Lonchura striata: one gene and its partners. The protein of the gene in region 2 purifies or fractionates together with the protein of the main gene of each other region. This does not show direct contact. Links are inferred from orthologs where the notes say so. Each region holds a gene or a part of one and is shown on either strand. Other genes may lie near its edges. The genes, in order: MAVS, IKBKG, TRAF3IP2 and MALT1.

What was found.
Region 1: the proteins of IKBKG (region 2) and MAVS purify together in Homo sapiens (affinity purification with western blotting; 4 studies listed by BioGRID and IntAct, with this or other methods). This does not show direct contact. The link is inferred for Lonchura striata from reciprocal best matches to the Homo sapiens genes IKBKG and MAVS.
Region 3: the proteins of IKBKG (region 2) and TRAF3IP2 purify together in Homo sapiens (affinity purification with western blotting; 3 studies listed by BioGRID, with this or other methods). This does not show direct contact. The link is inferred for Lonchura striata from reciprocal best matches to the Homo sapiens genes IKBKG and TRAF3IP2.
Region 4: the proteins of IKBKG (region 2) and MALT1 purify together in Homo sapiens (affinity purification with western blotting; 4 studies listed by BioGRID and IntAct, with this or other methods). This does not show direct contact. The link is inferred for Lonchura striata from reciprocal best matches to the Homo sapiens genes IKBKG and MALT1.

What each region holds. Positions count from the first base shown.
Region 1 is NC_134606.1:3,104,415-3,111,951, reverse strand, and holds the start of MAVS (mitochondrial antiviral-signaling protein), read right to left. Parts: upstream 3,012-7,537; 5' UTR 2,969-3,011; intron 2,410-2,968; 5' UTR 2,397-2,409; coding exon 2,280-2,396; intron 2,170-2,279; coding exon 1,989-2,169; intron 1,650-1,988; coding exon 1,432-1,649; intron 1,047-1,431; coding exon 473-1,046; intron 1-472.
Region 2 is NC_134638.1:2,065,118-2,072,243, reverse strand, and holds the start of IKBKG (NF-kappa-B essential modulator), read right to left. Parts: upstream 3,002-7,126; coding exon 2,887-3,001; intron 608-2,886; coding exon 550-607; intron 406-549; coding exon 126-405; intron 1-125. Other genes in the region: G6PD (glucose-6-phosphate 1-dehydrogenase), read left to right, coding at 3,331-3,385, 5,316-5,464. UniProt on the Homo sapiens protein: Regulatory subunit of the IKK core complex which phosphorylates inhibitors of NF-kappa-B thus leading to the dissociation of the inhibitor/NF-kappa-B complex and ultimately the degradation of the inhibitor.
Region 3 is NC_134605.1:68,416,658-68,423,547, forward strand, and holds the start of TRAF3IP2 (E3 ubiquitin ligase TRAF3IP2), read left to right. Parts: upstream 1-3,881; 5' UTR 3,882-4,258; intron 4,259-4,574; exon of another isoform or gene 4,575-4,621; intron 4,622-6,890. UniProt on the Homo sapiens protein: E3 ubiquitin ligase that catalyzes 'Lys-63'-linked polyubiquitination of target protein, enhancing protein-protein interaction and cell signaling. Transfers ubiquitin from E2 ubiquitin-conjugating enzyme UBE2V1-UBE2N to substrate protein.
Region 4 is NC_134642.1:368,402-375,954, forward strand, and holds the start of MALT1 (mucosa-associated lymphoid tissue lymphoma translocation protein 1), read right to left. Parts: upstream 3,004-7,553; 5' UTR 2,952-3,003; coding exon 2,800-2,951; intron 2,013-2,799; coding exon 1,846-2,012; intron 1-1,845. UniProt on the Homo sapiens protein: Protease that enhances BCL10-induced activation: acts via formation of CBM complexes that channel adaptive and innate immune signaling downstream of CARD domain-containing proteins (CARD9, CARD11 and CARD14) to activate NF-kappa-B and MAP kinase p38 pathways which stimulate expression of genes encoding pro-inflammatory cytokines and chemokines.

The DNA of each region.
Region 1 (7,537 bases), on a different chromosome or scaffold from region 2:
ATGCTGACCATCACTGGCCTGGACGGTTTTTTCCAGTGCTTGACAACCTCTTCAAAAAGAAATTTTCCCTACTATCCAATCTAAACCTCCCGCAAAACAATTTTCCTTTCATCCTGTTGATTGTTAGCTGGGAGCAGAGCCCAATCCCCACCCTGCTCCACCCTCCTTTCAGGGAGTTGTAGAGAGTGAGAAGGTCTCCCCCGAACCTCCTTTTCTCCAGAATGAGCTCTCAGAGCTGCTCTCCACCCTCCTTTCAGGGAGTTGTAGAGAGTGAGAAGGTCTCCCCCGAACCTCCTTTTCTCCAGAATGAGCTCTCAGAGCTGCTCCTCATCAGACTTATGCTCTAGAGCCCTCCCAGTCCCATTCCCATCTCTGGATGTGTTCCAGCATCCCAGTTTCTTGCAGTGAGGGGCTCTCAGCAGCACCTCCTGCTCCCTAGTGGCTGCCAGGTTCTGCCAGGAGGGAAACCCACCTCCACTCCCTGGGTGTTCTTGCAGCATCCCAACCCGCTTCTTCTCCACATCAAACTGCTCCTGTATGAGGAGGGGGCTGCGCACATCCACGAAGCTGCCCGTGGGCTCACCATGCCCAGAGCTTGGCACAGGCTGCTTTTTTGGCACCGAGTTTGGGGGCTGCTGCCCCACACCACGAGTGGCTCCCTCCAGCCTTGGTGGTGACTCTGTGAAGATATCCGAGCTCTCTTCGGGCTCATTCCTGGCCTGCCCAGGGCTCTGAGTGGCACCTGCATCCCTCGATGGAACAGACCTGCCCAGGGCCAGGCCCGGCGTGCCGCGGTGCAGGTGGTTTGCATTCCCAAAAAATCCGTTGTCCACACACACCGGCCGGCGGCTCAGCCAGTCCCGGCCCTGCTCTGGGGACACGGCCGGTGGCACGGCCACCCCTGATGTCCCCTCTGACACCGGCACGGTCCCGGAGGGGTGCGAGAGATTCCCCTCTCCACTGTGCCCGCCGCTCACTCCGCTGTGGACTTTGCTCTCAGGTGGAACCGGCCGGGGATTCTCTTGCTCCGGGAGTTTTTTGGGGAGCTGGAAGGAAATGGGTTGTGTTAAATCACTGGGATTGAGGGGGTTCACAGCGGTGTTCTAAAGCCTGAGCAGTGACCCCTGCAAGGCTGGTTATGAATGGGGTCTGGGGTCTCTCTTTGGGACCCACCCAAGGGTCTGGGGTTGTGGAGAGAAGCCTGGATTGGTGGCAAAGCAGAGCCTGCACTGCTCCCATGGAGGGAGACATGAGAGGGAGCAGTTACAGGGCCATATATCAGCAGTAAATTACCAGATGCAGCAGAGATCAGCAGCAAGCAGCTGCTCGGGGTGGCCCTAAAGGAGCCTGGCCCTACCACAGGTTCCCAAAACCCAATGAAAAGGTCTCAAAGGGATCTTGGTGTCCCCATCCAACATGTGCCCTGCTCACCGATTCCTGCACCGGCATTCTGGCCTCCAGCTCCGTACTTGTGGTGGTGCCAGCACTGGGAAGGACAGGTGGATGGTCACCAGTGGTCAGGTCTGGGCGTAGCCGCCCAGCCGAAGGGGCAGGATTTGGCCCCTGGGATGGTGTCTGGGCACTGATGGAGGAGGCAGTGGGACGGGCATCACTGGGAAGGGAGGAGGCAGCAGCAGGAGCTGAGGAACCTGGAAGAGACAGGCAGATCATTGTGGAAAAAACTGAGGAAGCAGAGGATAAGTGCGGGGCTGAGGCAGCCCTGTGTGTGTGTCCATGCTCTGTCCCCACATCAGCCAAGCCCACAGCACCCCTTTGTTATCTTTCCATCTTCCCTCAGGTGAGAACCCCAGCCCACCACCAACCCAAGCACCTTCAAATCATCCTCAGACATGTCACACAGTGAAGGACATCCCTGGGACAGTCACACACACCTCCAGCACCCTCGGAAGCTGAAGCAGGGACAGAGATGTCATGTCCCCACCTCCAGCAGCCCACGGGGCACACCCAGGAAGGATGAGGCTACATACGAGGTCGAGGTTGCCAGGTATCATAGACTTCCTGCAGCTCATCAGCCAAGTGCCCTGCGTTATTCTGGTGAAGTGCCTGGATGAGATCCTGCACCCAGCCCTTCCGGCACCTCAAGTGCTGATAGAATCTAAAGACAGCTGCCTGGTTGCCCCGCATCTCCTCCCGGGCAAGGAGTTCATCCTAGGAAAAACACACAGGGTATCTAAGAGAGGGTCTGGCTTAGAGGTAAGATAACTCTATGCTGCCATGGGGGAAGGAGCCTGGCAGAGCTCAGGAAAATAGGAAATTACTCTGTCAGAATCGACCAGGCAGGTCAGGGAATCGGCCAGCGACGCCACTCGGATAGTGCTGAATTTCTTGAGGTTTCTCGTAATGTGGGTGTACACTTTGTCCTCAGCCAAACCCATCGTGGCTCAGCACCTGCAGGGGGACAGAGACCTCGGGTGAGCAGAGGCTGCTGGCGAGCCTCAGTGCCCTGGCACAAACACTGCCATGATGAGACGGGAAATCCTGTCGGAAACCACGCGCACAAAGTTCGCTCGGCTTTAAGTTCAACGCTCAGCTTCACTTCCACACACACCTCGCTCCTTCCCACCATAAACGCCGTGTTTATTCCCACTCTGCTTGTTTGGATTCACCCGGCGGGTTGGGCGTCACGACAAAGGAAAAACAGGCGACACGGCCAAGACAAGCGCCAGGGGCCATGGCTGGAATCCCGCATAAGCAATGTAAAAACCAAAGGGGAAGGCACAGAGCTCCTTCCACAGGGAACAGCGGCCCGCAGGCGCGCCCACACCAGGAGGGCCCCGCCGCCCTCAGCGCGACCTTCAACCCCCGGGGGATCTCCGGGAGGTTCTCCGCTCGCAGATCCCCCTGTCAGGGCGGCCGGGGGTGGCTGCCGGGGCTGTGGCGGCCGTGGGGGCCGGTGCGGTCCCGCCATCCCCCCCCGCCGCCCTCACGGCCCCTCAGGGCCCCTCACCTGCGCCCGCCGCCGCCGCGCGCCCGCCGCCGCCACGGCCCCGCCCCCTCGCGTCGCGGCCGCCGCTGATTGGCTGCGGCGCACGCCCGTCACCGTGATTGACAGGGCGTGGGGACACGTCAGGGGACTGCCCTTGTCTGCCCTGAGGGGTTCTGACCCCCAGGGGAGCTCTGACTGTGACCCTCATTCGTGGAGAAAACTTCCAAAGCCTCAAGGTAAACTAGAAACCACCAAAGTGTGAAGTAGATTGTAGAGGGTAATTTAGTATGTCACATGGGTGAGGAATTTAGGTGTTAGGATTTTTAGTGTGTTATAGATGGGTTCAAGATGGAGGATATAGGGTGTTGTCTCGAATTCCTCTCCTCTCTTCTTCCTCTTCCTTCTTGGGTTTAGGTGGTATCTTGTAATGGGGTAGAAAAATCCACATTGCGGGTCTTTAGGGGTCAGTTATTGGGTTAGAAAGGAAAATAATTTAGGTGTCACTTCTTAATTGGGCAGCTTTTGATTAGACGAGGTTGTTGGCCATTTTTGTGCTGTTTTCCAGCATGCAAGGTCTGGTGCAGACAGCGTGCTGAAGTTTTGATCAGGTAACAATAAACAGAAGATGAAGACGGAAAAAGTCCTGTGTGTCTGCTTTTGCTGACACAGAACTGCTCCAGGGAGTTGCCCAATTTGGGACCCCAAACCCACAACAGGAGCATGGACAGGTTCCCAGTCCCTCGGGACAGCGGGAGCGGAGATCCCGGAGCGTGGCCAGCCTGGGGACACTGTCCCCCTCTGCCAGGGGACACTGTGGCAGCAGGGCCTGCTGAGTCCGGAGAAGAGGAGACTCCAAAGCCATCTCACCAATCCATAAAAACATCTCCAAGCAAAGGTCACAGGATGGTGCCAGACTCTTTCCCGTGATGCCCAGCGACTGGACAAGGAATAATACAAAGATGTCTGAAAACTAGGGGAACGGGAGAAGTTTCACACCCCAAAGCTGCTCCACTGACAAAACAAAATTAAAATGAAGATGGATGATTCCATTCTCTTCCATTCTATTCTATTCTATTCTATTCTATTCTATTCTATTCTATTCTATTCTATTCTATTCTATTCCATTCCATTCCATTCCATTCCATTCCATTCCATTCCATTCCATTCCATTCCATTCTAACCATTCCCCCAGCACTGCCAAGGCCATTATTAACACATATCCCCAAATGCCACATCCAAATGGCTTCTAAATCTCTCCAGGGATGCTGACCATCACTGGCCTGGACAGCTTTTTCCAGTGCTTGAAAACCCCTTCCAAAAAGAAATTTTCCCTACAATCCAATCTAAACCTTCCATGAAACAATTTTCCCTTCATCCTGTTGTTTGTTACCTGGGGGCAGAGCCCCAGGTAGCTTCACCTCAATGTGACAAAGAACTTCTTTATGTTTTGGGTAGCAGAGCACTGGAATAACTGCCCGGGCAGGCCATGGAGTCTCCCTCTCTGGAGACCTTCCAAACCCACCTGGACACATTCCTGTGTCACCTGCTCCAGGTGACACTGCCTTGACAGGGGGTTGGACTGGATGATCTCCAGACGTCCCTTTGAACCTCAGTTTTCTGTGATTCTGGGAGCTGGAATATGGTCCTTCATGTGAGCAGTGGCACAGTTTATCCAGAAAATCCTCATCCCTGGAAGTGTCCAAGGCCACAGGTGATGGGGCTTGGAGCAACCTGGGATAGCGGAAAGTTGTCCCGGCCCATGGTAGGGTGTGGAACGAGATGGTCTTTAAGGTCCCTTCCCACCCAAACCATTCTGTGATTATAATTAATTGAATCCAGCTTTTCTCATTCTAAGTCATAAAAATCGATCATATTTCTGGGTTGTTTCTATAATTAAGAAGAGATCAGTATAATGATAAAATTTACCACATGAAAAAAAAGCCACTCAGTAATTCGTGTTCACAGAGTTGCAGAATTGTACAATCATAATCATAGAATCGCAGAATGGTACAATCATAATCATAGAATCGCAGAATGTTAAAGGTTTGGAAGTGACTTTAATCATCCCAAGCTGAGTGCCATGGGTACAGACAACCCCCATTAGACCAGGTTGCTCAAGGCCTTATCCCACCTGGGTTTAAAAATTTGCAGCCTTGGGGCAACCACAAATTCTCTGGGCAACCTGTTCCTGTTCTCGCCGCGGTCACAGCAATATTAGTGGATATAATAATATCCAATATAAATAATATAAATTCCTCCTGTTTCAACTCGTACACGTTACTCCTTGTTCTGTCTCCGCACCTCCTTCCTAAGAGTCTCTCTCCGTCATTCCCGTAGTATCCCACCAAAGCTTTTCCTTTGTCATTAATTCCCTAATGAACAGTCAATAGTTAATTAATTTCCCACTCCGGAATTTTGGGAAGCGGAATCGGGAGCTGAAGAGCGGAGGAGCGGGGGCGAAGGCGCAGCGCCGCCTCCGCGCCACCAGGGGGCGGCACCACCCCGCGCCCGGGGCCCGCCTGGCCACGCCCATGGCCACGCCCCGGCCACGCCCCCGGCCCGGAGCCGCGCGATGGCGGCGGCAGCGGGCGGGCGGCGGCGGCGGCGCCGCTGAGCGCCGGGAGAGCCCCGAGGGGCGGCGGGGGCTTCCCGCACCCCTTCCCCTTCCCTCATATCCCCCTCCCCTTCTCCCCCGGCCCCCCCCACCCCGCGCCCTCCCCGCGCGGCGCCGTCCATGGTGACGGGCGGCCGAGGCGGCCTCGCAGCGGAGCCGTTCGGGCGGGAGGCGGCGAGGGAGCGGCGGGCGCAGGTGAGCGGGGACGGGGTCGCGGGGAGCGCCGGGGGGGCGCACCGGGTTGTTGTGGGGGCCCGGGGGTGGCGGAAGGGGCGGGGGGCGCGACCCACGCGCGTCCGTGGAGGTGGGTCGCCCCCACCCTGCCCACGCTGAAGTGGGGGGTTAGCGTCTGTATTTTTGGGGGTGTATCTGGCAGGGAGAATGGTGATTTCTACGAGTGATCGCGGGCTGGGGCTCTTGGGTTTGCTGCCTTGGAGCGAGTCCAGACGAGGCCACCAAGTTGATGGGAGGGATGCAGCACCTCTCCGGCGAGGAAAGGCTGGGAGAATTGGGATTGTCCAGCCTGGAGGAGAGAGGGGTCCGGGGACACCTAATGGGGGCCTCTCAGTAGTCGAAGGGAGCCCGCAAGAAAAATGGAGAGAGACTTTTTACAAGAGTCTGGGGTGACAGGATAAGAGGGAATAGCTGCACACTGAAAGAGAGTATGGTTAGATTAGATATTAGGAAGAAATTCTTCCCTAGGCAAGTGGTGAGGCCCTGGCACAGGTTGCTCAGAGAAGCTGTGGCTGCCACTGGATCCCTGGAAGTGTTTAATGCCAGGTTGGATGGGGCTCTGAGCAACCTGAGCTAGTGGAAGGTGTCCCTGCCCGCGGCAGGGGATGGAACAAGATGAGCTTTAAGGTCCCTTCCCACCCAAACCATTCCATGATTCTGTGAACTTGCACCTGTGGGTCTGCAGTGACCCACGGGGTTGGGTACGGAAGTCCAAGCTGAGGACACCCATCCAAGACCCAAAAAACATCTGCAGGGCAGGGCCACCATGGCCACCATCTCCTGCCACCACCCACCACCACCCTGCTGCAGGATGGCCAGGCTCCCTGGACACCTCCACTCAGGACTCTGGGGCTTCTACTCCTGACCCACGGTCAGACCATGTCCCCCTTGGCAAATCCAGGCCATGCCAGTGGCCAAAAGCTTCTTTTGGGACCGATATTCCAGCTTGGGGGCTTGTGTCCTGGCTGCCCCCTGGGCCATCCCTCTCAGAGATGCTCCAGGCTGTAGCACTGGAAGGGACACCATCTTTGCTGTGGGGTCTGAGGGTTCTGTCCTTCCTTCAGAGCTCTGTCCCCTTCTCCCTGGCTCTTTCTGCTCCTCAAAGGGTGTGTCCCCTCCTCGCATCCCAAACGGGAATCCCAAACGGGAATGTCAGTGCTGCCCCTCTCCAAGCTCTCCCACGCTCGGCTAGCTGCATCCTCCCTCCTCGGCCAGCACTTGCTTGTTTCTGATCTTGGATGTCATCGAGGGTGGAAAATGTGACAGGAAGGAAGGGAGGCTTTTTTTCCTCTCCTGCTAAATATGGACTGACATTAAAAATCCAAATACTGTCGCGAAAGGAATCCCAAACTCTGTTTGTCGAGGGAGAGAAAACGATGGTTTCTGCCTTTTCGGTTCCAGCTGGGAAGTTTCGCAAGGAGTGGTGGAGTCCTTGCCGGGAGCCTCAGGAATTTACTGAGCTTGTTCACAGGACGCTCTCCCAGCGTCTTATGCTAAAAAAAAATTAGTCATCCCTTCTCTGCCTGCTCGTGGCTGGGGGGAGCTTGCTGTGAGCATGCAGGATGCTTGGAAATATTTAAGGATTTCTTCCTCCTGTACAAGGAGTTCTAGAAACGACAGGAAATAAAACTGCGGCCCCAACAGGAGTTTTTCATCTTTATTTTAATTCCTGTTGCTGCAGCAGCCAGTGGCAGGGAGGGGAAGGATGTGCTCAGGGGTGGGGGCTGCAGCCAGGTTTGCAG
Region 2 (7,126 bases):
GGGGACACTGGGGACATCAGGGGGACATTGGGGACATCAGGGGCACCCCACAGGAGCTGGGGGGCCAGCGAGGGGACACGGGGAGGGGACACAGGAAGGGGACACGAGGAGGGGGACACACACACCTCAGTGCTGGCGTCAGGGCTGCTCCTGCAGATGTCCCCAGGATCCCTGAGAGTGTCCCTGAGGGTGTCCCTGATGTCCCCAGCAGTGTCCTTGGTGTCCGTGAGGATGTCCCTGATGTCCCCGGGGGTGTCCCTGATGTCCCCGGGGGTGTCCTTGGTGTCCCCAGGGGTGTCCTTGGTGTCCCTGATGCCTCCAGCGGTGTCCCCGGCGGTGTCCCCCACGTCCCCGGCGGTGTCCCCGACGTCCCCGGGGGTGTCCCCGACGTCCCCGGGGGTGTCCCTGCCGTCCCCGGGGGTGTCGGGGGTGTCCTCAGGGCTGTCCCCGGGGGTGTCCCCGCGCTGTCCCCGCAGGTGCAGCACCAGCTCGCGGGCCTGTCCCCAACGTCCCCAGAGCAGCTCCCGCTCGCCCCGGCGCTGCTGCTGCAGCTTCCGCAGCTCCTCCAGGCGCTGCCGCAGCGACTGCGTGCAGTGACACAGGGCACCTGGGGACAGGGACAGTGACACAGGGACAGCAGTAACACAGGGCACCTGGGGACAGGGACAGTGACACAGGGACAGTGACACAGGGACAGTGACACAGGGACAGCAGTGACACAGGGCACCTGGGGACAGGGACAGTGACACAGAGACAGCAGTGACACAGGGACAGTGACACAGGGACAGTGACACAGGGACAGTAACACAAGGCACCTGGGGACAGGGACACAGGGACAGTGACACAGGGCACCTGGGGACAGGGACACAGGGACAGTGACACAGGGCACGTGGGGACAGGGACAGGGACAGTGACACAGGGACAGTGACACAGGGACAGTGACACAGGGACAGCAGTGACACAGGGCACCTGGGGACAGGGACAGGGACAGCAGTGACACACAGGGACACAGTGACACACAGGGACAGCAGAGACACAGGGCTCCTGGGGACAGGGACAGTGACACAGGGCACCTGGGGACAGTGACAGGGACAGCAGTGACACAGGGACAGTGACACAGGGCACCTGGGGACAGGGACAGGGACACAGGGCACCTGGGGACAGTGACAGGGACAGCAGTGACACAGGGACACAGTGACACAGGGCACCTGGGGACAGGGACAGTGACACAGGGACAGTGACACAGGGACAGCAGTGACACAGGGCACCTGGGGACAGGGACATTGACACAGGGCACCTGGGGACAGGGACAGTGACACAGGGACAGTGACACAGGGCACCTGGGGACAGGGACAGTGACACAGGGCTCCTGGGGACAGGGACAGTGACACAGGGACAGTGACACAGGGACAGCAGTGACACAGGGCACCTGGGGACAGGGACAGCGACAGTGACACAGGGACACAGGGCTCCTGGGGACAGGGACAGTGACACAGGGACAGTGACACAGGGCACCTGGGGACAGGGACAGTGACACAGGGACAGTGACACAGGGCACCTGGGGACAGGGACAGTGACACAGGGCTCCTGGGGACAGGGACAGCGACAGTGACACAGGGACACAGGGCTCCTGGGGACAGGGACAGTGACACAGGGACACAGGGCTCCTGGGGACAGGGACAGTGACACAGGGACAGTGACACAGGGCACCTGGGGACAGGGACAGTGACACAGGGACAGTGACACAGGGCACCTGGGGACAGGGACAGTGACACAGGGCTCCTGGGGACAGGGACAGTGACACAGGGACAGTGACACAGGTACAGTAACACAGGGACAGTAACACAGGGCACCTGGGGACAGTGACAGGGACAGCAGTGACACACAGGGACAGCAGAGACACACAGGGACAGCAGAGACACAGGGCTCCTGGGGACAGCAGTGGGGACAGCAGTGACACTGGGGACATTGGGGGCATGAGGGACATTGGGGACTGGGGACACTGGGGGCACTAGGGACACTGGGGACACTGGGGGGACTGGGGACACTGGGATGCTGGGGGCATATTTGGGACATTGGGGGGACTGGGGACATTGGGGACATTGGGATGTTGGGGGCATATTTGGGACATTGGGGACTGGGGACACTGGGGGGACTGGGGACATTGGGATGCTGGGGGGACATTGAAGGAAACTGGGGATTTTGGGGGGACTGGGGACATTTGGGACATTGAGATGTTGGGGGGACACTGGGGACTGGGGACATTGGAGGGATTGGGGACATTGGGGTCATCAAGGAGAACTGGGGACATCGGGAACTGGGGACACTGGGGGGGCTGGGGACACTGGGGGGGACATTGGAGGTGCTGAGGGGACATTGGGATGTTGGGGGGACATTGGGATGTTGGGGGGACATTGGGGACACCGGGGACTGGGGATTGGGGACACTGGGGAAATGGGGGGGACATTGGAGGTGCTGAGGGCATCGGGGACACTGGGGGGGACTGGGGACATTGGGGACATTGGGGGGACATTTGGGACATTGGGGACTGGGGACACTGGAGGGGACATTTAAGGTGCTGAGGGTATCGGGGACATTGGGGACGGGGGGAACATTGGAGGTGCTGAGGGGACATTGGGATGTTGGGGGGACATTGGGGGGACACTGGAGGTGCTGAGGGGACATCGGGGAACATTGGGGACATTGCGGACTGGGGACATTGGGACATTGGGGGGACATTGGGGGGACCCTGGGGACGGGGGGGACCCTGGAGGTGCTGAGGGGACTCGGGGGACACTGGGGACACCCCAGTGGGGACACGGGGACACCTCTGGGGACCCCCGCCGTGCCCCCCCATGGTCCCTCCCGGCCCGGCCCGGCTCTCACCCCTCAGCTCGCGGTTCTCCGCCCTCAGCCGCTGCAGCGCCTCCGCCAGCGCCGGCTCCGCCTCGGGCCCCGGCTGCACCATCTCTGCGGGCCGCCGCCAGCGCCCGCCGCTCATCGGCGGCTCCCGGGCGCGCTTCGGGGCCGAGTTCGGGGATTTTTTTTTTTTGGGCCGAATTCGGGGATTTTTGGGATCCCGGCGGCTCCGGCGGCGGCGCCGCCGCCACTTCCTGCTTCCGCCGAGAGCGCGTGACGTCACCGCGCCCCGCCGCGCTTCCGCCTCGGTCGATGTCGTGGCGGCGCCATAGCAACGCCGAGGGCGGAGGGCGCCGATTGGTTACGCCTCCGCGCGTAGCCCCGCCCTCCCTCGGCGATGATTGGTTGAGGCTGGAGAAAGCTCGGCGGTGATTGGTGGGTAAGGGGACAGGGCGTGGCCTCTGTGAAGGGATGGGGACCCGCGCGAGCGTGAGGGAGGCGGCGCGAGCGCGGCCGGAGCGGGAAGGTGCGGGGGGAAATAATGGGGAAATAATGGGGAAATAATGGGGAAATGTGGGGAAATTCGGGAAGACGTGAGGGGATCTGGGCTCTGGGATAATCCGGGGGGTCCATGGAGGCCTGGAGGGGAGCGTCGGGGGGAACCTGAGGGGGAACGTGAGGGGCTTTAGGGCGGAAATGGGGGAGTTTGGGGTCTGTGAGGGATCTGAGGGAAATTCGGGGTCTGAGGGGGATTTGGGGGGGGTTTGGGGGGAAGTGAGGGCGGAAATTGGGAGTCTGGGGGTGTCCAGGGGTCCGTGGGGGGATTGAGAGGAAGCTAATGGGGGGAGAAGGCGGAAATTGGGGAAATTTGGGGATCTGGGGGGGATGGGGAGGGGGTTAGGAGGGGGATGGGGGGCTGAGGGCGGAAATGGGGGGGATTTGGGGGATCTGGGGGGTCCAGGGGGGAGATTTGGGGTTCGAGGGGTCAGTGGGGGTTCGGGGGATTTGGGGGTCCTGGGGGGGAAATTTGGGGGAACTGGGGCGGATTTGGGGGGGACAATGGGGGGAGGGCGTGTCCTGCCCCACCCATCCCCAAAACCCCACCCCGGGTGCCCAAACCCGCCCCAAAACCTCCCAAACCCACCCCAAAACCCCCAAATCCCATCCCCAGGTGCCCAAACCCGCCCCAAACCACCCCAGCCCTGCCCCCCAGGTGCCCAAACCCACCCCAAAACCCCCAAATCCCATCCCCACATCCCCAAACCTGCCCCAAAACCTCCCAAACCCACCCCAAAACCCCCAAATCCACCCCAAAACCCCCAAATCCCATCTCCCGGATGCCCAAATCCACCCCTAAAGCTCCAAATCCCATCCCCAGGTGCCCAAACCCTCCCCAAAACCCCCAAGTCCCATCTCCACATCCCCAAACCCGCCCCTAAACCTCCCAGATCTCATCCCGGGGTGCCCAAACCTGCCCCAAAACCTCCCAAACCCGTCCCTAATGCTCCAAATCCCATCCCCAGGTGCCCAAACCCACCCCTAAACCTCCCAAACCCTCCCCAAACCCCCCAAATCCCATCCCCACATCCCCAAACCCACCCCTAAACCTCCCAAACCCGCCCCAAACCCCCCAAACCCCATCCCCAGGTACCCAAACCCGCCCCAAACCCCCCAAACCCCATCCCCAGGTACCCAAACCCACCCAAAACCCCCAAATCCCATCCCCCGGGTGCCTAAATCCACCCCAAACCCCATCCCCAGGTACCCAAACCCCCCAAACCCCGTCCCCAGGTGCCTAAATCCACCCCAAACCCCATCCCCAGGTACCCAAACCCACCCCAAACCCCCCAAACCCCATCCCCAGGTGCCCCATCCCACCCCAACCCCCCCAAACCCCATCCCCAGGTGCCCCATCCCACCCCAAACCCCCCAAACCCCATTCCCAGGTACCCAAACCCACCCAAAACCCCCAAACCCCATCCCAAGGTACCCAAACCCCCCAAACCCACCCCTAAACCTCCCAAACCCACCCAAACCCCCCAAACCCCGTCCCCAGGTACCCAAACCCACCCCCAAACTCCCCAAACCCCATCCCCAGGTACCCAAACCCCCCAAACCCACCCCTAAACCTCCCAAACCCACCCAAACCCCTCAAACCCCCCAAACCCCCCAAACCCCATCCCCAGGTGCCCCATCCCACCCCAAACCCCCCAAACCCCATCCCCAGGTGCCCCATCCCACCCCCCCAAGTGCCAGCTGTGCCCCCCAAGTGCCCACCCGTCCCTCCGGCTGCCCTTTCCTGCCCCGCAACCGCTCAAATCTTGTTCTGGGCTGGCCGAACCTGTTCCTCTGCTCCCCAAATCCCTGCCCGGGGTGGCCGAACCTGCCCCCCGAGTGCCCGGTCCGGCCCCCCGAGTGCCCGGTCCGGCCCCCCGAGTGCCCGGTCCGGCCCCCAGGAGCGATGCCGGGCTCGGCTGAGGCGGCGCCGGCCGCCGGGGGGGAGCTGAGCCGCTCGCAGGTGTGCGGGATGCTCCGGCAGGAGCTGAGCCGGGACGGAGCCTTCCTCCAGGGCCACCCGCACGTCCTCGTCATCCTCGGCGCCTCCGTGAGTGGCCACGGGGCAGAGCAGGGCTTTGGGGGGGTTAGGGGCAGGAATTCGGGGTTTGGGGGGGTTAGGGGCAGGAATTCGGGGTTTGGGGGGCTTAGGGGCAGGAATTTGGGGGTTTGGGGGGGTTAGGGGCAGGAATTCGGGGTTTGGGGGGGTTAGGGGCAGGAATTCGGGGGTTTGGGGGGGTTAGAGGCAGGAATTCGGGGTCTGGGGGGGTTAGGGGCAGGAATTCGGGGTTTGGAGGCAGGAATTTGGGGGTTTGGGGGGGATAGGGGCAGGAATTCGGGGTTTGGGGGGGTGTTAGGGGAAGGAATTCGGGGTTTGGGGGGCTTAGGGGCAGGAATTTGGGGGTCTGAGGGGGTTATGGGCAGGAATTCGGGGTTTGGGGGGGATAGGGGCAGGAATTTGGGGTCTGGGGGGGATAGGGGCAGGAATTTGGGGGTCTGAGGGGGTTAGGGGCAGGAATTTGGGGGTTTGGGGGCAGGAATTTGGGGCTTTGGGGGGGTTAGGGGCAGGAATTCAGGGTTTGGGGGGGTTAGGGGCAGGAATTTGGGGGTCTGAGGGGGTTAGGGGCAGGAATTCGGGGGTTTGGGGTGGTTAGGGGCAGGAATTCGGGGGTTTGAGGGGGATAGGGGCAGGAATTTGGGGGTTTGGGGGGGTTAGGGGCAGGAATTTGGGGGTTTGGGGGGGTTAGGGGCAGGAATTTGGGGGTCTGAGGGGGTTAGGGGCAGGAATTCGGGGGTTTGGGGGGGTTATGGGCAGGAATTTGGGGGTCTGAGGGGGTTATGGACAGGAATTTGGGGGTTTGGGGGCAGGAATTCGGGGCTTTGGGGGGGTTAGGGGCAGGAATTCGGGGTTTGGGGGGGTTAGGGGCAGGAATTCGAGGGTTGGGGACAATTGAAGGGGCTATGGGGCAGAAATTTGGGGGTTTGGGGGGGAAATGAGGGGGTATGGGGAAGAGATTCAGGATTTGGGGGGGTTAGGGGCAGAAATTTGGTGTTCAGGGGGAGGAATTGAGGAGCTAAGGGGCAGAATTCGGGGTCTGGGGGGGAATTGGGGGGGTTGGGGACAGAAATTTGGGGGTTGGGGGGGTTAAAGGGAATTGGGGGGATAAAGGGAATTGGGGGAGGAATTGAGGGGGTTGGGGGGAAATTGGGGGGCCGGAGGAGCAAAAAAGTGGGAAGCAAATCTGGGGGGAAGTGGAAGGATATCGAGAGGTGGAAGAAAAATTTGGGGGCAATAAAGGGATTTAGGAGATTTGGGGAGAAATAAAGGAGATTGGGGGGTTGAGGAGGAAGTTAAAAGGGTTTGGGGGGATTTTGGGGGGCCTTGGGGCAAACTGAAGGGGGTTCAGAGGAATTGGGGGAATTTGGGGGGATTTGGGGTTATTTGGGAGGTATTTGGGGGGATTTGGAGGGATTTGGGGTTATTTGGGGGGATTTGGGGTTATTTGGGGGGGATTTGGGGTTATTTGGGGGGATTTGGGGTTATTTGGGGGGGATTTGGGGGGGATTTGGGAGGGATTTGGGGTTATTTGGGGGGATTTGGGGTTATTTGGGGGGATTTGGGGTTATTTGGGGGGATTTGGGGTTCTTTGGGGGGATTTGGGGTTATTTGGGGGATGGGGGAGGGGCGGCCACCCGCTGCCTCCGGGGGAGG
Region 3 (6,890 bases), on a different chromosome or scaffold from region 2:
CAGCCAGGCTAGAGCTTGCCAAGGGCTCTGGTTTGCTTTTTTGTGCATCAGCATTTGTTGCTGAGCTCATGCACCCAGAGCCTTGCTTAGCTACCTACTGTCACAGCTTCACACAAAATTCCTGAGCCCTGAAATGGATGAATTCTAATCTGGAAAAAGAAAAAAGAATGCAGGGCTGTTTTGTGACTACTGGGGCTCAGCCTCATGCCAGAGGCCTGTCTCTGAGCCCTGGCAGTCCCTGTGCTTTATTCACTGCTGCAGTTCAGGCTCTGGGCTGCCTCTCAATTCCACAGGCAGCTGGATTTCCCCAGCTAGAAAATGCTACTCGTATAGGAGGGTCTCTGGTGTTGGGAAAGGGCTGCAGGGGTCCCAGCACACCGCTCCTGGCACCACACATGGCCTGGGCCATCACTGTTCCTGGGACAGGCTTCCAGGAGAGAGTGGCAATGCAGAAGGGACCTGCAGCTTCCCTGGAGGCCCTTTGGACACCCAGAGCTGCCATGCTCTGTTAGCAGCAGCTCAGGCACAAGTGTGTGGAGCTGCTGACAGGTCTTGGGGTGACTTGGGTTCCGGGGCTGTGGTGCTACAGCCCATAGTCCCAGTGACAGTGGAGAAACAGCTTTGTGTCTTAAACAGAGAGGACTAGCTACGGTTGATCACACAAGTGCTCAAGTGCTCCCTCAAATTCCCATGCCTCCCAAAAGGAGTGCAGCCACCAGCTGAGCTTTGTCTATGACCTCATATATATCCAGTGTATAAAACACATTCCACATATTGAACATTTGCATATGTTACATGTCTTTTGTTCCACTTGGGTGGCCTTTTCCTCCCCTCCCCCCATGACTCATCCACACAGCTCCCATCACATTATTCTGGACGTGTCATTTCTGAAGGACTACACATCCCTGTCCTGCAGAGAATGGGGGCTCTGTTAATTGTCAAATGTTGAGTGGGTAATGATCAATGGGTGACTAATTGGATGCAAGAGGGAATAAAATAGGTATTACTTAGCTTCTGCTCTTAATTAAGAGGATACATAATGCTGTGGGGAAAATCTTAACAAATGGCAGGAGGTGTTTTTGTCATTATGCAGGGTTTAATTACATGCATTGCACAAGCCAACATCCAGGTACTGTTTTCTTTCCTTTCAGGTGTCTCTCCAGGGTGTGACTGAAAATTGACAAAGCAAGAGCCTTAAAATAAAATAAGTGGAAAATATTTTCGCAGGCATGTGCCTAGCAATGTAAACAGCAAGACATAGAAGAAAGTCCCGGTTTTCCTCACAGTGCAAAAGCAGCAAGGGACATGCAGAGAACCAGAGTGAGACCAGTGCATTATGCTGAGGCAGAGGGGGTTAAAGGCTCACTGCAATGTCTCCAGGTTAATTCACAGCACCAATGTTAAAAGAGGAGTAACATGACAGTGCGCTATTTAAACAGTTAATAATTTGGAAGCAAAAATATTCATTATTTATTTCTCCAAAAACAGAGATGTGGTAAGAAATATGAGACGGGGCACTCAATACCAACATTTTCTTCCTAATGAAAAAAGAAATATTACAACTCCTGCCGGATAAGGAATGGATTTTAAAAAGAAAAAAATGGTCCGTGTTACTTGCCTTGACAAAGAAAACCATCCTGCACTTGAATCTGTTCTTTCTATGACAGGCCCAATATGACTCATCACGTTCTGCTTGTAAATAATGTACAGATGAGATTCTAACTTTAGAGAGTTCAGAGTTTTATCTGGCTTTCAGTGAGTGAAGTCAGTAGGGTAGGAAGACTTCAAATATATAAAGGAGGCCTTCAGAAGGCAATTATGATGGCTTCAGTTTTGGGGATGAGGGAGGTTTTTGAAATGCTAAAATTAACTTGGGTATCTATTGTCCAAGTTTCCTAATCCAAAAATGAGTTAATTGACAACAGTTTCTACAGCTTTGTGGGAGTGTACTGAGGTTTGGGCTGGACCTTTGAAACCCACTCAGCAGACAGTGCTGTTAACAGATTCAACAGAGTGTGACTTTCAAGCTATTTTTCCCCTCTTTGTCTAAAGTACATAATTCTCAAGAGAAAGGAAACTGCTCCAAATATCTGCTGTTTTCTGGGGCTTGGCAAGTTAAAGAGGGGACAGAGACTGGTTCTTTGGCCGCATCTGCAGACATCATTAGATCTCTGCATTTCTGGAGCTGAAGTGACAGATCTCACAACCAGAATGTTCCTCTCCTGGACAACCGACAGCTGTCTACAGGGGTGGCAGGTGGACACTGTTGTTTGCTGGATGTTACAGACCAGTGTCCAGGGTTTGACCAGCGGAGAACAGAGGACTGTCCATACCCATTGTCAGTGAGGGAGGCCATCCACGGCGTGAAGAGAGGTGCTTGATGGCTCCATAGCAGAACCTTTTATAAAGAAACCCCACAGATGTGGGTATTGATGAAGCATTCCACGGGACACTCTGTCTGCCAAGTCCCCATGCTGCTTGCATTCCCTGAGGAGCTGGTCGTTGCACAGCAAACACTACATACATCCCTCACACACATCCCAGGAAGGTCAGGTGCTCCCCAGAGCAACTCTCCCTCCCTGCTTCCATCCTGTCAACATTCAACAAGGTCCTGATTTTGGCTCCTGTGTGGCCGTGGGCCCCTCACCGCCCTCACCCACTGTGGCACACCAGTGGCAGTGGAGCCATCACTGCTCCTGAGCTGGAGGCCGGTGGGAAAGCCGGCAGGAGAGGCAGCCACCCAAGCCCAGTGCGGTGCAACTCGGGGCTCAGGCAGCCTTGAAGAAAATGCCGGCTGTCAGGGTGCTCATGGTGCAAAACAGCTGTGCAGCAGAGGCCAGGCCAGAGGGATTAAACCTTCAGCTGTGGTCATAATGCAGCCACTCCAGCCGTAAGCATCTAGTGCTCATCACATCTGGGGCTGGCTGGGAGCAGCAGGGACTCTCCAGGGAGTCTGGCAGCGGTCAAGGACAACTTCAGAGTGCTCCAAAAGGGAGCCCTGGTGTCCTGCTGGCCTTTGCCTTGGCACAGGAGGCAGAAAGCGGGGAAGGAGGGGGTCAGGATGGCCAGTTCCAGGGCCAGACTGATGTGGGATTTCTCACCAGGGAAGGTAAGCCCAGGCTGCAGGGCATCACTGCACTGCCATCAATACAATCACACTTAGTGCTCAGCTGGGGGCACATCCTGCTCCCAGCTGCCTGAAGGCAACTTCCAAAAATGTGGGCAGTCATTCCGTGATGAGAGGAGATAATTGCCTGGGTCACTGCTTTGCCTTTGGACCAGAAAGAGGGGCTGGCAGAGTGGCGGGCGTGCAGAGAGAGCCCTTCCCGAGGGCAGGAATGCTGGGTATGTGCCCCCTTCCTCGGCCCCCCGTGTCACTGGAGGGGCACAGGAAGGAGCAGCGGTGGCACTGCCAGAGCTCGGAGCTCGGGGGTGGTTTCCATGTCCCTGTGCCAGGCAGACCTGCCAGGCATCCAGGCAGCCGCGGTGTCCGCCTGCGGCCACCCGGAGGGTGGGGAGCCGTGCCAGAACGTCCTCCTAGGGTGAAACTAAGAAAATGAGGCTGGAGATCACGAAGAGCTTCTCGGCAGGGAGATGCGCTGCGTGGGGGTCAGGACAGTGGCGTGGCCTGGGATAAAAGCGGCCAGAGCGGCTTTCCTGGGGCAGCTCACCGGGCATCTCCGGAGCTGGGAGAACACAAAGTTTCAGCTTGTAGGAAAAGCGATTTTCTGGTCCTTGAGAGTGTAGAAACTTGGAAGTGTCTAGAAAGCTAATATAAAAGAAAGAACCAGTCGAGAAATCCTTTTATTGTTCTTTATATAGTTCTCACACGCGTCATGTGATTCTCTTCGACCGTCTGAATCACAGCTGATTTACCATTTGGCCCTGACAGCAAGCGGCCGAGGGCTGAAAGCAAGGGATGGCTTTCGCGGCGAGGCGCACGGGTTAGGAATCACGCCGGGGTTGCCCTGCGCCCTTCGGCCGCGGCGCTCGGGCAGAGCCGCGGCACCCACGGGCGCGGCAGCGCGGCAGGCACGGCCGGGAGCCGCTTCCCGGCGCCACCGCGCCGAGCCGGCCTGCGCTTCCACTTCCTGCTGCAGGCCAGTTCTGCCGCTCACCTGGGAGAGGCTGGGAGCGTGTCGTAAAAGGAGGGAAGGCCGCCCGGCCGGCTGAGGAAGGAGCCCCGGGCGCGGCGGGAGCGGGAGGCGCAGCGCTCTCGCTGTCCGGGGCAGCCCAGCGCGAACCCCTCGCCCGCAAGGTAAGCAGGGTCAGCGGCGCCGCCTCCCTCGGCCCTGCCGCCCTCGGTGCTGACCCGCGCCTGCCTCTCGCCGGGCTAACCCCCCAAAATTGCTGCCTCGCTCGCTTTCTCCCCCTCCTCGGAGCATGGGAGCCCGGCTTTCACAGATGGTTACAAGGTGTTTCAGCCATTTCGCTGCAGTTTGTTTTGTTTGTTGGTTCTTGTTCTTTTAATTTTTTTAAATCAGGAGGGGTTTGGGGTAAACACAGGGGACGGACACGCCTGGTGTCGAAATGTTGTCCTGCCTATTTACGTAGTTTCCTGGCAATGAGTGGCGGCCAGGCCTGATCCCGATCCCGCCCTGTCCGGTTCTGCAGGCTCAAGGTGGTGTGTTGGCCGATGGCCCTCTCCTTTTCCCTCTCACTTTCCCTCTCACTTTCCTTTCCCCTCCCTTTCCCTTCCTTTTCCCTTCCCTCCCTTTCCCTTCCTTTTCCCTTCCCTCCCTTTCCCTTCCCTTCCCTTCCCTTCCCTTCCCTTCCCTTCCCTTCCCTTCCCTTCCCTTCCCTTCCCTTCCCTTCCCTTCCCTTCCTTTTCCCTTCCCTTCCCTTCCCTTCCCTTCCCTTCCCTTCCCTTCCCTTCCCTTCCCTTCCCTTCCCTTCCCTTCCCTTCCCTTCCCTTCCCTTCCCTTCCCTTCCCTTCCCTTCCCTTCCTTTCCCTTCCCTTCCCCAGCTGACCCGGGGCTGCATAGGACAAGTCCATAGACCTGGTGAGGGAGAGGTGGCTGCAAGGTGTGAAGAAAACAGGATCACAGATGCTTTTTGCCCCATCCTCTATATAGCCTTGGCACAGAAACAAGTGGGAGCAAGGTGGTAGTATTTCTTTTCTATTAGGATAAAACCTGCTTCCATATAAAACCCGTTCCCATTTCACCCAGTCTCAGGATACAGGTTTTGTAGGGTTAGCACTGGCTGGGCGCTGAGATTGGCACATCTGAGCTTACTGGTCCTCAACCACCACCAGTAACGCTGAGACCAGAAATTCCCATTCCCTGCAAGCCCTGGGTGGGTTCAAGGCCTGGACTGGCCACACCAGTGCCCCACCATGACCAGCTGCTGCTGTGACATCTATGACAGGTGATTCCAGAGACAGGGATGCGAGGGGCACGTGCGGCTGGGCCAGGGTGGGTGAGTTGCTGCCAGTGATGCTGCTGCCTGCAGTGCCATCAGCCTCTGAAACCAGCCTTGTCCTTGCAGAATGCTGGCAGTGCCTGGAAGCATGCTGTATATATATTTTTTTTTTAAATTATTTTCCGATGGAGTTGAGTTTTCTTTCTGTTTTCCTAAGGCAGGAAGCAAGGCATGTGCAATTATGGTGTTCGTGTCTGTCAGTGCCCCCCACCCCCAGCAGTGGCTTTTGAAGTTTGGCAGAGGGTACATGTCTGAAAGATACACACATTTCTGCACGTTTCATGACTGCAAGTGAGCGAGGCTGTTCTCACGCCAGCCGAGGGAGACACGTCAGGTCCCGCAGGCTTCCCTCAGCCTCCTGCCGCCCACGCTCCCGCAGCCCTCGTGCTGCAGAGCAGGGAGAGTGGCTACGGATGGGAGAGACATCAGCCCTGAGAAATACCAGGGGCTCTTTGGGAGCCACAGTCTTCGATGTAAGGCATGAAGCTGTAGCAAAGCAGGCTGAAGAAATTGATGCTTTTCAGGGTGATCCCTCCATCCCACCCCACTGAGACAGCCCCAGTTTGGTGACAGGAGTTTTGGATGTCCCCGAGCCCTGGGATATCCCAGGCTGGGGGTTCTTAAGTGCCTGTGAGAGTTTTGTCAGCACCAAAAATGGGTGGGAAGTAGCCTCTGGAAAACAATCACATTTTTAAGGATACTAAAGATAATTGTAGACATTTTCATATTTCACAATGTTTAGAAAGCTGGCAGGGAATGCTGCCTATATCTGAGGTGCCTGTTTGGACCCTGCTAGAGGGGTGTCACCCTTCTAGTTTCTTACTACTTACTGCCAGCATTCCTTCAACATGTATATCAATGTCTACACTAAAAAGGCAAAAAATACCAGGTCTGCTCTAGCCTTTGCACTGTGGATTGTCCACTGAAGCAGCATTAGTGGTGCAAAAAAGAATGTGAAGTTTGCTGTGCAGACAGGGTTTGAAGTATGTTCTCTTGGCACATGTAGATTTTCCTGCCATGGCTTCAGAAAGTACATGAGAGCAACCATATAGCCAGAGGAACATACTATTTTTCTAATTTTTCCAGAAGTCATGAAAATAAGCATTACCTGCCCTAGAGGGCTAAAAGTCTGGACTAGGAATGTGACACATGTCCTTAGTCTTTGCTGTGGAGGGTACCCAAGGGAGAGGGGAGCATCTGTGATGACAGCAGCCGAAATTTCTCACGGTGAAGTGCAAAATTCTGAAGCTTGGATTTCCTTGGCAGTGCTTATTTAAAGTGTAGACCCAAACCAGTTCCCACATTTGTACATGCTCCTCCTGTAAGGATTTCTCTCTGGTTTTTTGTGAGGAAAGTTATGTCTAGTGTTTCTGTAGAGAAAGCTGCACTTAGAGCAAGTGCTCTTGCACACTTACACTCATCTCACCCTGTGGCAACAGCATTCCTTGAGATCTCAGCATGTGCAT
Region 4 (7,553 bases), on a different chromosome or scaffold from region 2:
AGTCCATAATTTATATTTGCATTTAAATTGCCCTTGGAGCACAGAACCTTTCTGTCATTAAATATACTTGAAAATAATTTGTTTGTACTGTGTATACGCACAGTTCCAATTAGTTATATTACTTTAAGACATTCAAAATTGTCTTCCACTACACAAAATCCATGCTCAAATCGATAAGTACTCGATGGAGCTCATAAAAGGTTTAAAGTATATCATTCAGATATTTTAATTTTAAAGGAAATAATATGTCTCATGGTATCACAGATCCCTTTTTGGAAAGATATTCTCAGTTTTAAATGTTTGTTCACTCCCAACGATTTTTTTTTTTGAGCTGTTCAGATTAAGGCCCAGCCTGAGGGAGTCAAAGCAGTCAGAGTTTAAGTCCAACAGAGCACATTTTCCTGCTATTCCTTATACACTCTTATGCCTCTGATTCATGCAGAACATAGGGCTGGGGTTTTCTGCAAGGTAAAACTTTCTATTTCAAATCTTAACTGACACCACTCCAATATGATGCAATTATTTTCTTAACCTAAGGTATTCCAGATCTTGTTACAGCATGGTCCCAAAACCAGGTCCACTGGTATAGCCAAAGTCATCAGAAGAAGGAGAACGGAACATTTAAAAATCATGATTTGAAACATTCTTTGCTCTGGATAGTCCAACTAGACCAGAACCTACAGAGACAACAGCCTGAAACGGAGAGCACACGGCGTTTGGAAATCACATAACCTTGCCTGGCAGAGCAGTGTGTTCCATCAGCTGCCTCCACTCACATGATTACTCTGAAAGAGTAGAACACACCAGCAGCTACTCCAAAAAAGCTGCAGCACTTTGAAATTCCCTGCCTTCCTTACTCCAAAATCACTTCCTTCTACACCTAGCACTGGAGATCAGTACCTCAACTCCTTGTTTAACACTTCCTCTTCCACTTTCTGCAGTTAAACTGTGTTGTTTTTGAGCATCACAGTCCTCTAACATTAACCAGCAGAAAAGTAATTATGCTATTTCAATTTAAAGGACAGAAAAATTAAGAAGGCTTGCTCTTTCCAAAACTTCCACTTTTTTTTTTTTAATTTCCCCCAATTTGCATCACAAACAGCTCTTAAGAACATAGATGAGAAAAATCCACTGGAAGATAAGCATTTTGCACTCATCAGAAGCATTCCAAACAAGTTCTAAGAAATCTGATCCATAATTTCTTTCCAGTTTCAGTTCCTTTCCTGTGGTTTATTCAGCACTACACAGTCACTTCCTGCACGTACCATGGAATTTAATAGTTCAAAAAGAAAAACCTTCCAGCTCAATTTTATGATAGATTACAAAGACACATAAATATTTCTTCCATTTTCCTTGGAAAATGCAGAGCATAAGTGTTACCTTTGAATATGGCAAAGTGACATCTATGGTTACTGGACTTTGAAACCATGCAGATTCAGTATTCATAATCTTATTAATAATCTGCCCTAACTGGACCCTTCCCCTTCACCTGGGATAAGTTACTGACACCTCCAGACTCCAGTGCTGGCAGCACTACCTGTCTGTCCATCTCTGGTCCATAAGCATCTCCCAGAGGCACATGCTGAGACCAAACCCCAGTCAGCAGACAGAATGACAACGCCCAGCACACCCATGGAGCCAAGTCCAAGTCTTCAACAACACTGCACGAAGGTTTGGCTTACATTTAACCTCAGAATCAGATCAGCCAATAACCTTGGTAATCATCTGGATCCCAACTAGCTAGAATTCAAGCACTAAAGTTGCTTTTCGCTACTGTAGAGTGCTACCTTGAGTGTTCCCAGTGTAAAATCCAGGGCCGCAGTGAAAGCACAGCCCAGAACTGACCTGAGTGGCTCAGACACCGGAGAGCCTCTGTGTGCTCCAGGGCCTGCAAGGACTCCGCCAGCTCCACGACAGTGCAGCCCCGATCCCCCAGCAGCTTCAGGAGACTCCAGCTAGGACTGCCTTCTGGCTCCAGCACCTGGAGGGAACACTGCTCCAAGTCGAGAGGGCTATGGAATAATGTGAGAAAGACATGGCATAGACCTTCTCAATACCTTTTTCTCAGAAAGGACCCGGGTAAACAATCACTTGTAGATAAATAAAAATAGAGATGGGAAATTCCCAGCTGATTTGGACATATTTGCAGCATTTCCTTCAAGTTTCAGGAGTACAGAGGTTATTCAGTGACACCTCCGCAGACAGAAAGTGGTATTAGTGAGCTGGATGGTATAAGAGATGCATATACCTCACAAGTTTCAGCAAATGTATTAAGAAACCTCCTATTTTTCACTTTTAAAGTGTCAGCAGAAAAAGTAGTACAGCATCTTTCATTTCTATGAGCCTGACTCAGAAGCCGTAGAGAGCGAGTCAGACTCTTAACTTCAAAGTACAGGAAGACTGATTTTAAAGTTGTTGTAAACAAGTGACTGCTGGAGTCCAGCCTAACACACCGACTGTACAGCGTAGTCACCTGTGTCTGAACTTGTAGTTTCAACTTTGGTGTCGTTGTCACGCACTTTCAGTCACAGGCATTCAATCAACACAAAAAAGAAATAATGACAACTGCCTAAAGAGAATACAAAGTTACATATTTCCACTAAAAAGATTAATCAACGTTTCCTTCCTTAAATCACAGAGCTACGCAAACCTGGGGACGAGATATCTTCAGTATGTGGTGATACTTTCACTTATGAAGTGGACGGACTCTCAGTGTTTTACGGGATTAGAGAGATAAACACGCACCGCTGGGCCGCGCCCCGCCGCCGCTGCCCGCGCCCCGCCGCTGCCCGCGCTCACCTCAGCCGCACCGCGCCGCGGCTCCCCGCTCGCTGCGCCAGCTCCCGCCAGCCCTTGCCGGGCGCCGCGCGGTCCAGCAGCTCGCTGAGCCTACGGAGCAGCGGCCCGGCCAGGCGGCTGAGGGGCAGCGGCCCCGCCGCGCCGCACTCCATGGCTGCCCGCCGGGGCGGTGCTACCGCACGGAAGGAAGAGCCGCGCGGGACGGGGCGGCTGGGTCGGGTACGGCTGAGGGGAGCGCGCGCACCGCGCCCTGAGGGGGCACAGCCCCGTTGAGGGGCTCCGCGCCCTGAGGGGACGCAGCCCTGAGGGGGCCCAGCCCTGAGGGCTCCGCGCCCTGAGGGGACGCAGCCCTGAGGGGGCCCAGCCCTGAGGGCTCCGCGCCCTGAGGGCTCCGCGCCCTGAGGGGGCCCAGCCCTGAGGGCTCCGCGCCCTGAGGGGACGCAGCCCTGAGGGGGCCCAGCCCTGAGGGGACGCAGCCCTGAGGGGGCCCAGCCCTGAGGGCTCCGCGCCCTGAGGGCTCCGCGCCCTGAGGGGGCCCAGCCCTGAGGGCTCCGCGCCCTGAGGGGACGCAGCCCTGAGGGGGCCCAGCCCTGAGGGGGCCCAGCCCTGAGGGGGCCCAGCTCTGAGGGGGCCCAGCTCTGAGGGCACCGCGCCCCCGGGACATCCCGTAGTCCTCCTCGGGCACCGTGAGGAAACAGATCAGGCGCGGTCGTACCCCTGTTGAAATGGGCGTATTGTGCGAGCGCGAGACCTCCTGCAGCGTTCCCGGGTGGTGCTGAGGAGGCCGAACGTGGCTTTACAACCGGGGCTGGGGCGTAAACCAGACAAAGCCCACAAGACCCGAGAGCTGTTTCTCTCTCGCCTTGAGGAGAAACGTCTTTATCTGACCGCGAGCAGTACGACCATGGACTCTCTTCCTTTACACAGCTTTTCTCAGCCTGCTGCCACTGTCGAAGCGTGCAGCGTAAAGGCACCTTGCGTCCTCAGCGAGGGAGAGGAGGAACTGCTCAGGAAGAGCCTCCCGAGATGTTCCCCTGAGTGATCGTTATCACTGCAAACAGATGATCTGAAGCGAATTCTCACCTCTCTGGTATTGCGACTTGCTCAAAGTGGACTGAAGGTGCCTAAGAAAGTAATTTTACAAACATTTTTAATCAGTGATCAAGCATTTGGGTAGCTCAGAGAAGTGGTAGATGCCCCATCCCTAGAAGTGTTCAAGATCAGGTTGGACGGGGCTTGGAGCAACTTAGTCTGGTGGAAGGTGTTTTTGCCCATGTTGGTGTAGGGCTATATGACCCTTAAAGGTCCCTTCCAACCGAAACTGTTCTGATTTGAATGTGGCTGCCTCTCATTTCTTTGCCTATTAGGCTCGTCTATAAAACATAGATATTCTTATTGCTATTTCTGAATAAGGGTGGTTGGAAGTGCTATATTTACTGCTGAAGACCACAGTTTCCTATCTGTCTAGATAACACTGGGAGCAAGAAGTATTTAGCACAGTAGGATCTTGTAACCAGTTTTAGCTGTGTGTCCTTCAAAATGCTTAAGAAAAAACTTGGCACAAAAGTTGTTTTTTCGGCCTCTTCCAGATCCCTTAAACTCAGGGCAGTTTGTGCAATTCATTCCAGTTTGCCATGTGTGAGACTTGTCTCCTTGGGTACCAAGAGTGGAAATACTTTCTTACTTCAGGATTTGCTCATTTGCCTTTGAGGGATGAAGATGATAAGGTGAATTTCTGTGTAGAGATTATGAGAAGTCCACTGTCCACCTTTGATTTCCTCAGCCTGCTTGTTAGGCACTGTGGATTTTCTCATGCTCAGCAGAACTTTTGTGTGCCTAACGTCCAGCAAGTAAGAAATTCCCAACTTGCCTAGAAGAGCAGTTAGGCACATGCTTCAAAAAACAAGCCAGTGCTCTGTTATGAAAAACTAAGGCCAACACTTCCTCTGTCTCAAGGCCATTAGGAAATTCCTATGGACTTCTATGGAAGTAGGATGTGCCCTCTCCTCACTGCCAACTCCCTGTCTGGCAGAGGTTTTCCCAGGAAGGGCCATCTGCTGCATGTAATGAAATCGTCTCTCTTAAAAGTCAAACTGTTCAGTGATCAGACTCCCTATCCTGAGATCGCACTCCAAAACACCGGTGAAGCTGTCGGCTGGCTTGCAGCTCCTAACAACGCGCACAAATTCAGCCTCCTTTGTCTCCAGTGGGGAGGCCCAGCCCAGGACCAGCCTATCCCAGAACATCCACAAAGAGCTCAAGGGTAAGTGAGGGGTCGGGGTGTTTGGACTTTGAAAATTATTTGTCTGCTTTTTTTCTCCTGGGCAAATAGAATGTGTATCATAAAAGACTAATAAAGGAAAAAGAGCAAGTTACTTTTATTATCAGTGCACTACAATGGATTGATTTATACTGCTGTTGACCAGGAAATGGGATTTGGTATTTCCTTCTGCTAAAGAAGAGCCATTTTTGTTTATCCCAATAGATTTGGGTGTTTCTAAGCATGTTGCATTTATAAATCTGCTCACTGTTTCTGAAATTACTCTCTGCTACTATTTCCACCAAGTCTCATTAAGACAAAATTGCAAAAATTGTACAAAAGCAAGCTTCCTTCTCTAAAGAGTGTGTAAGTGATACCAGGTATCCTGAAAGACACATTTATTAATTCTAAATTCTAAATATTTATAGCACGGCCTAATATGCATTAGATAAAAGGTTCCTCCATTCTTGAGGAAAAGGTCTGGTCACTTGGTAGTAATAGGTGATTCCCAATCTTCATGAATTGCTCAGTCTGACAGGGTCAGATGCTTGACAGGTGTTAAAAATAGATTAAGACAGATCAGTGTTAAGAGTTGTGCTGTGATTGCTTATTTTAATTACTCTATATTAAGGTGTTTGTTTGACATGTGCAGAGCCAGTAATTTATTAGTCCATTTAGCTGATAAATTATGGATGAGGTGTTTTTATACTGTGGGGCTGTTTACAGCGGGTACTGCACTAATCAAAATGTTGTCAAAAAGCCTTGGATACTGGCAGTTGAAGAACCTCAATATATCACAGAATTTTCGGCAAGGGCATATTTTCCAGACATCTACTTTTTGAACAGCCACAACTTCACTGATGTTTTTCTTACCTAGACCTTATTAATCCAATAGATAGTGTGGTAACTGGTTTAGATAATACAGTGTTTCTGTAGTTTGGTTTCTGACACTGTGCACTCTTTGACAAGTATGCTGCTCAAGGTGTTCCATTTGCGCTCTCTCTTGCTTCAGCTATCCCAGAACTGCTGTCAGCTCGGTATAGAGAGCCCAAAGTATTGGTTGATGAAAGGCTATTCCCCAGTGTGAACCACTGTGCATGATCAGTGTCATTCCCCTGGTGTTCTGCTGATATCCCCCGTGTGGGCTCACTCAGCCTCTCTCTTCCCACTACTCTGGCTGGGTGGGTGTGATGCAGGTCCTTGGCAGGACCTGCTCTGGCTGGGAGCTTTGTGGGGGTCACAGCTTGGCTCCATCGAGGGGTGGGCATTGACCAGGTGCTCACTGTGCCACGGAAATGCGTGGGACGGGCCCCTGAGCCCAGAGCTGGGGCTGCACAGATAACGGGAGGTGGTTCCTGGGTGGGCGGACAGCTCCAGCAAGGTCAGGGACCAGTGAGTGCTGCTGAAAGATAGGAAGGAGCACTACTGAAAAGGGCCTGCACACAAAACAGAGATTACTCCATGAATAGATCTTAAGCAAAGGAAAAATGCTTCAGGGATGTCATAAAGGGGATTTTTCCATTGACTCTAGAGGACATGAACCTCACAGAAAGGCACAAATTCACTTCTGGATTGCTAAAATGCATAAGCTTCCCGTATAAATAATTTCTGTGAATATAAAATTGCTTACAAATGAATGTGAAAAACAGAATTCACTGCTTAGAGTTTTTAGAAGTCTAAAAATAATAATAATTATAGTAATAGGATAAAAAAAGGACAGTATTTCCATGAGGGTGGGGGGGGAGGGCATACAGACAATGTTATCTTTATACTGTTATATCAATAAGATACATGCATATTATTGTGTTTCATGCATAATTCAAGTGTTCTTTTGAACTTTCTGATGTTTTGGGAACTTCTTTGTCTGACTTCTTCATACTCCGGCTTATCTGCATGACATCCTGGGTGTCAGGTCAATATATTTTCTTGTGTCTCCATCCTGCTGTTTCACATCCTCTGATAAGGGTTTAGTATGTCCTCCTTAAATTTAACACGGTATTCTCTAATTGTGCTCCGGTGCTCTGGTTTGTGCCATGGTTATCTTAGCACTTGGACAGGTTGGATGGCCTTACACTGTTTTTGGTTACACAAAAGCCTTTTTTTCCCATCTTATGTTTTGCTAAGGTCTATAACACAGTACATTCAACACACTATTATTTCCATAAGTGATACATAGCTATTATATTCATTGCACTACTATTTCTATGAGCAATACAGTGCATGCTTAAGGTGATAGATTATATTATACTAACATGCAGCTGAAAAGAGTTATAATTGATACTATTTCAAAATAGTTATAATCACTAACAACAAGCATGGGCTAATACATAAATGCAAAAGCCAATATCTGGTAATTTTTCACAAGAAGATTTTTGTTTTGCTAATAATTTAATAAAGTTGGAAAAATGTGATGCAAGAGAGAAAATGTAATGGCCACCTTTTAATCAAGTTTATATATTTTTGTCAGTTAATTTTTTTCTGACATTAGGAATAA